Linked DNA regions of Xenopus tropicalis. The protein of the gene in region 1 interacts with the protein of each later gene in a biochemical or structural test. Links are inferred from orthologs where the notes say so. Each region holds a gene or a part of one and is shown on either strand. Other genes may lie near its edges.

Region 1 (3,829 bases):
GTACTTCAGATGGAGGTAGGAGTTGAAAGCATCTGCTGCGTGAGACTAGTTTGTGTTTTGTAGCCAGTAGAGCTCTTATATATTCCACCCTCCTTTTCTTTCCACAGTCCCACATACAGAGCACTTCGGATAGAATCCAGTTCAATGACTTGCAGTCCCTGCTATGTGCTACCCTTCAGGTAAGGACTGTTATAATGTAAGAATTCGAAAGTTACTGGGTGGTTTAAATATTCATAACTAACTTTACATTTCTCAACCTCTTGACAAAGTGTATTACAAATACAGGTTTTGGATCCCTTTTATCTAGAAACCTCTGAATTTGAAAAGTCCATTTCCCATGGAGTCCATTTTATAGGACAAGGCAACTCAAAATATAATTTTTTGCCTAATAAAAGAAACCAAAACTCTAAGCAGCTTTGCAATATACATTTATTACAAGTTTGTAATGGTTTTTGGGTTATTTGTATTTATAATTGCTATTAGAAGCAGTGTTTGCCTGTCCTTTTCTATTCTCTGCCCTGGGGGCTCAGACTGTTGAAACATTGTAACACAAGGCAGCAGACTGACAGATCTGTATTGCTGGAGAAGCAAGACCTTTGCAACATTGTTTAAAATGTAACAACCAGGAGCTCAGCAAATGCTGCTTTCAATAGCAATTACATTTACAAATAACGTTTAAAAGCGCTACAAATATTTAATTATTTCATATTGGAAAGTTGCTTAGAATTATGTTTTCTTTCATTATGCAAAACATTATTTTTGGGGTTGACATGCCCCAAATCTAATTTCTAAATTATTTTTTTTCTGGAGTAATAAAACAGCACTTTGTGCTTAATCCTAACTGAGCTGCGTCAATCCATATTGGTGTCAATGCAATCCTATTGGGTTTATGTAATGTTTAAATGTTTTTTTTTTTTTTTTAGCAGGCTTAAGGAATGGGTTATCCAATATATAATATTCCTTATCTGGAAAGCCGATCCCAAGCATTCAAGATCATAGATTTTTCCTATACCTGTATAATTATTGAAGGCTGCAACCTTTTAGTACATGCCTGGGACAAGACGACTTTAGGTCTCCAGTATTTTCACAGCGAATATAAAATTTAAAGAAACATTAACATCAAAAAATGAAAAAATTTGAAAATGAATTCAAATATAGGGTGTCTATTTCCTGTACTGGTAGTTGTACGTTTGCTTAAACACTTCTATAGATTATATGAATAAGCTGATTTATAGCCATGGGGCAGCTATTCAAGCTGAAATAGGGCTAAATGGCACAGGCTACATAGCAGATAAGCTCTGTATGATACAATAGATTTAGGCCTTGTGCAGAAATATAAACCCACTTTTGCAGGTTGAATATCTTCCCCTATGGCTGCACAGCAGTATTTTCATACTGGTAAAAAGCCAGTTTTACCAGTGCAGGGAAACCGTATGTTATATTTTAATACTTTTAAACACTTTGATATATTTTTTTGGTGTTACTGTTTCTTTAAGGGGAGTATGTTATCTGCACTGTTATGTTCCCTGGCGGCTTCATTTGACAACTTGAAACCCACACTGAAATGCAAGCTGCCTGCAGTACTGCAGCAAGATCTTACATGGTGACTCAGTCTAAGTGGAACTGTCGATCCTTGTGAGCACAAATCAAGCCCTGATTTTAAAAGGTGTTGCTATCATGCAACCTCTATTGCTCCCAGCCCCTACCTGTATAAATCCCACAGCGTTTTACAGAGTGAAGACCCTGACTAGTTTTAAATGGGCCCACAAACACCATAAACTGCAATACGCTTATCCAAAGACTCCTATAAATCCTGAAAGACTCCCATATCCTAATAAATTATGAGGAAATATGGAAGCAAACTGAACATTTTTGTGCAGTAAACTGCAGTCATTGCGCTGGTATCATAAAGTACAAGGAAAGGTACAATCACTTACCAGGTATCCCAGGCCGGTGCTCATTAGTAGAAAACTGCAACAGTCCAGTGTACACATTTTGGTAACCCCCAATGATTGTACTTTTCCTTTATACAAATTACCTTGAATATATGGTACAACACTAAAACCAGTATACGGTATTTACAGTTTCTTAACACACCCCATTTCCCACTTGGATGCATAACCCCTCCAGGTTTGACCATTTGGCTTGTACACTAAACTTTAATGGAGTTGTGGTAAGGAAACAAACTATCCTACATATTTGGTGGTCATATTATCTATGTGCAAAATATAGGGGTGCTTCTGTCACACATTGTGCACTGTATGTGCAGTTGTTATAATACCTTCTGGAACTTTTGACAATACAAAGACTTTACAATATAGAGCAGTTGTCTTGAAAATAATAATTGCGCAAAGAAACGAGACTAATCAGCAGTTTGTTCATGTTGTCTGTGAAGCTCTGGGCAGTGGCTCATCGTGAACATGAAGTTCCAACAATGTAACATGAAATTATTGATTTCATTATGGTGGCTACTGCCATGTCTCAGCCCTTGAATATGAACTTCCCCTACCTGTGTTAAGCAAGTGCTTTCCGGCAAGCAAGAAAATGCATCCATGTGGCAAGAGAAACCTCTTATACTTGTTTTTATGTATCAGAATTGTTTTTATACTTTCTTAATCTGTATATCCTATTATGGTTTTCTCTAGAATGTGCTGAGGAAGGTGCAACACCAGGATGCCCTACAGATATCTGATGTTGTGATGGCCTCATTGCTCCGCATGTTCCAGAGCACTGCAGGTTCTGGGGGAGTACAGGAAGATGCCCTCATGGCAGTCAGCACCCTAGTGGAAGGTAATGGTGCCTGATGTGGTTGCAGTACAACCTATGTGTAAGATTGATGTTTGCAAAGTTTGGCACAAATAGAAATCAATATGAATGCAGTGGTTGTCACAAAGTAAAGTGTAGTCGTAATTGCATACTATTACAAACCACTGTTTCATTTATTGCCCTGGTTTTGTCCTATAGTTACATAGGGTTGAAAAGACGACCAGAGTCCATCAAGTTCAACCCTTCCAAGTAAACCCAGCACCCACAAACCTATACAGACCTATATCTATACACTCGCATACATAAACTATATATATACCAACAACAATACTAACTGTGGAGTTTATGTTGGTATAAATCTCATTACTGATGCCAACAGTGGCTAGTGGAGAATGTCATCTTGAACAATTATGTCACATAGATGCCATAATGACATGTTACTTATTTTTCATTAAGTATGGGGTTTGCATTCCTGTTTTATAGTGCTTGGAGCAGAATTCCTCAAGTACATGGAAGCATTTAAACCATTCCTTGGCATTGGACTTAAAAATTATGCAGAGTATCAGGTAAGATGACATTCCTGTTTGCCAAACTCTCCCACCTTGGCCCGCACTGGCAGGTTGTAGATTCTGGAAAATGCTAAGCCAATTTTTAATCTATTAGGACTCCCCCATGTGATTGTAATCTAAATGGAGATTAAATGGCATATTAAATACCCCAGTCGTTTTGCAGTGTTCTTAGTGTACAAAAAAGCCCTAGAAACGTCTAGTTGCTGGAGAGTCTCTGGATGACAAGTTCATGCACCACACAGAAATGTTCTGTTGATTATGAATTTCTGAAGACTTCTTCCAGACTGTAGGAAGTTTTAGAGTTCCCTTTTGTTTATTTGCATTTCTGCCACATAGCGTAGAAAGTAGCACGTTTGCCTGCGTTTGTGTAAGAATAGGCTTCTGTAAACCCTGTTGTTTTTCCCAGGTGTGTCTAGCTGCAGTAGGACTTGTTGGTGACCTGTGCCGTGCTCTACAATCCAATATCTTGCCATTCTGTGACGAAATGATGCAGC
Region 2 (3,829 bases), on another chromosome or scaffold:
GAGGTGTCTACGATGCATGCTTGATTGATTTCCATTGGAGCTGGAGGCAGCAAATAACCACAGTAGACACCTATTCAACCGGCTTCTTATTCAAAGGAGAAGGGAGGCTCATTATACTAAGAGCTCTGGCACACAGGGAGATTAGTCGCCCGCGACAAATCTCCCTGTTCGCGGGCGACTAATCTCCCCGAAATGCCATCCCACCGGCAAAATGTAAATCGCCGGTGGGATGGCATACGCGGCAGCACGATTTCACTGATCGCGGGCGACTAATCTCCCCATGTGCCAGAGCCCTTAATGGGTGAAGCTTCACGTTAGAAAAGGAAGTTTCTGCAGCATGTTTCACCACGGGATGCACTGAATCCACAATTCGGTTTGGGATTAGGCCAAGATTCGTCCGAATCCACAGTCCTGGCTGAACTGAATCCAAATCCTAAAAATCACGTAACTTTAAACTTCTGTGTTTACGTGACAGATTTTTTACCATGTGCTTAGCGTGGGCGACATTTAACCATTCCAAAATCTAATTAGCATATGTTAATTAGGATTCTGATTCGGTCCAATATTCGGCTGAATCCTGTACGAAGGATTCAGGGGGTTCGGCCGAATCTGAAAAAGTGGATTCGGTACATCCCTAGTTTACTTATTCTTATTTAAGAAACTGGTTTCCTCCTGTATTGCTTGGTGTGTAAGTAATTTCTCTTCTCCCATAAATTTCCTACCGTGTGTGTGTAATACACTTGACTTTAACTTGCTATGCTTTGCCTATATGTGTACCCTATAACTCAGAAAGATGCATGGGGGTATCTCTGTTAGGAAACATTGGTTTATGTATGCGTACTGTTACTTTTCGATTATGTATTGAAGGGGTTCTGAAAAGCCCAGTCCCCCACCCTTAGTGCTGTATTGGGTGTGTAAGGCATTTAATTATCCTTTAGCGGCAGCCCCATACTGTCCCACTGGTAGAATAATGCCTCTGATTGTCTGATGGAAAGCAGTAGAATCCTTGTCTTGTTTTAACAAACGTCAACGAAAAAGCATAGAATGTAAAGTGGTCCTTCTTGTATAAAGGTTATAAAAGATGTTTATATCAAAATGTATAGGTACTTTATATTTTATCGAGCAATAGGTGAAGCCACTATACTGTATGTAGAACAAATTGGCTAATACATCTTTCTGTCGTATGCAGGTGGAATACCTTGTGCAGCAAAATGTTATCCCGCCCTTCTGCAGTTTGCTGTCTGTGAAGGATTCCCAAGTTGTACAGGTTGTTCTGGACGGTCTGAAAAACATTCTTATAATGGCAGGGGATGAGGCCAGTACCATTGCTGAGATTATTGAGGAATGTGGAGGTAAGGACTGGATTACTATCAGCTGGATCAGTACAGTAGAACTCACTGGCCAAGTGCAAGTCCCTAGTGTTGCTGAATTAGATGGAAGTTGCATCATGTAACTTTATATACTCATTTAACTGTCCATAAAGATGAGTTGAAGTGGCAGTTGATCTGGCTACAGTTGATACCAAAATGCAGGTTTCAATTGTTTACGCTTCTAAAAGAATTCTTTGTTGGGTTCTTCATTTTAATGCAAGGTTATTACCTGGGTCATAACTTTGAAGGGGGCCCCAAACCATAGGGTAAATTGCACCCTAGCAACGAGCTGCCCTAATTTTAAACTGAAGAGCTGAAGAAAAAACGAAATAATGGAAATGCAGAAAATTTTCAAGATTATTTGCAGATTGTCTCAGAATATCACTGTCCACATCATACTAAAAGCTAAACGCCTTTAGGAGTTGTACTGCTATGTATAAATACATATGTAATGAACAACCATTAGTTGGCTCTGATTGTTTTCCCCCTGAGCTTAGGCTTTCCTGTTAGGGTGGTGGCCCATGGGGAGATTAGTCACCTGCAGTTAGATCTCTGGACGAGGGGAGACTAATTTTCCTGAAATGCCTTCCCACCAGCTTTAAAGTGAATCACTAGTAGGAAGGCAAACACATTGCACCAAGTTTCCTCCTGCAGCTTTTGCCATTTTCATGAAAAAGTGACATTTATAAGGCTTTTGGCACAAGCACTGTGGTCCTCTTGGGAATAACATGTCGAACAACTCTAACTCGCCAGCTGCTGGTCCATGGGCTTCTTGTGTCTGTTGCTGTCAGACTGGGATCCCACTGGAGTTCAGAAATGAAAAGAGTTGTCTGTAGGCAGAAAACATGTTTGTGATGTATTGTGGGCTAAAGAGAGGATGTCATTTCACTTTTAATGTTCAGTTAAATATGAGCTGACATTTTTCCTTATGTTGTGGTTATGGATGCCCTGCAGCAGGTCCCCTTGAGGAATATGTGTCCGTAGAGTGTAGTAATGCCTAGAGTGTAGTAATGCCTTGCATGGATAAATTATGATAAAAATGGCAGAATGCATCACTGCCTCTGAAAAGTAACAGACCTATTGGTGCAGCAGCAAACACCATGTAGCAATCCTAACCTAAACCTAACCGATATCAAGATGTATTTCTAAATGTCTTGTTCCTGTGTTCTCCTGTAGGACTGGAGAAAATAGAAGCACTGCAACAACATGAGAATGAAGAAATCTACAAACTAGCATTTGAGATCATAGACCAGTATTTCTCTGGTGATGATGTAAGTGCCTTGTCTCTTTTCTGGGTATAGCAATGCCTTTTTATTTATAAATGGGGGTTTAGCATTAAGTACCTGCAAAACCTCTCCCCTCGGTCTTTTAGAACCAACCAACGGTGGCCAAGGTGCAAAATTACAATGATTGTTTTCATGTTCTTGCCTGCAGATTGATGAAGATCAAAGCCTTGTTCCCGAAGCTACCCCAGGAGGTACATATCATTTTGAACCAACAACCAGTCTGCAAACAAAGGAATTCAACTTCTAAGTATGTTGCTGTGCAGCTTTTCTGTCCCTCAGCATACGGCACCACCAGACATCAACCCGCTGAAGAAACATAAAGGCTTAAAGATACACACGCCTCTTCGTTTTGATGCTTCTAAAGCAAACCATGTTTATCTGTCACCTTGCAGTTGCCAAATGTCACATTCACACGGACTGTAATTGCATATGCATGATCTCGGTTTCCTTTGAAATTCTGACAGTCCCAACTCTATCTCCTGCCTTCTCCATTCAGCACCATGTGCTGACCGCCACAACATTCTTCTGTTCGATTATTCCATAGTGGTGGCATATCAGCTTACTGTGGGAAAAGTAGCTTCTCTTGAATCTGGTGCACTGTACATCGAGACTTTGGTATGATGCCTACGTTTTGGAAGAATTGCAGGAGTAGTCTGCTCTGAGCCTCCATCTTCCTACATGAACATTTTCATATTTTGTGGAACTAAGAAATTTAATGGAAAACAAAAAAAAAAAAACATGCAAGCCAAAATATTTCATTCGCAAAACCGAATAAAGGTTTTACTTGGGTGATTCAGTGAAAGAAATTGTTTAAGAGAAAGAAAACTGTAGTTCTGTCTCTAATTGGTGTTTCCTAAACTGCCTCACAAGTCAGGATTGGGAAAAAAAACGGAACTATTTCTAAGCAAAATGCTTTGTATTCTTTTTGAACATCATGCCGTATTTGACCACTCCTACATACATATCCTGCTGTTTTGAAGTAACCAAAACTGTGCATGGAGTTGCCTCTGAGCTTCTAGAATATGTCTGTATCTGAAGCTGAAAGCAAGAGTCCCTTACAACTAAAACTATACTGAGATTTTGACTAGAACAAATGTAAAATGTGGGGGGGATGGAACCTTGCTTTCATCTTTTAGTTGACTTGGTATTCTATTTCATTTAGGCGGCTAAAGG

What was found.
Region 2: the proteins of kpnb1 (region 1) and kpna3 form a complex in vitro, tested with the Homo sapiens proteins (2 studies listed by BioGRID and IntAct, with this or other methods). The link is inferred for Xenopus tropicalis from reciprocal best matches to the Homo sapiens genes KPNB1 and KPNA3.

Annotation. Positions count from the first base shown.
Region 1 is NC_030686.2:10,823,830-10,827,658, reverse strand, and holds part of kpnb1 (importin subunit beta-1), read left to right. Parts: coding exon 1-15; intron 16-107; coding exon 108-179; intron 180-2,645; coding exon 2,646-2,790; intron 2,791-3,249; coding exon 3,250-3,332; intron 3,333-3,741; coding exon 3,742-3,829.
Region 2 is NC_030678.2:149,369,070-149,372,898, reverse strand, and holds the end of kpna3 (importin subunit alpha-4), read left to right. Parts: intron 1-1,189; coding exon 1,190-1,352; intron 1,353-2,546; coding exon 2,547-2,641; intron 2,642-2,804; coding exon 2,805-2,903; 3' UTR 2,904-3,393; downstream 3,394-3,829. UniProt on the Homo sapiens protein: Functions in nuclear protein import as an adapter protein for nuclear receptor KPNB1. Binds specifically and directly to substrates containing either a simple or bipartite NLS motif.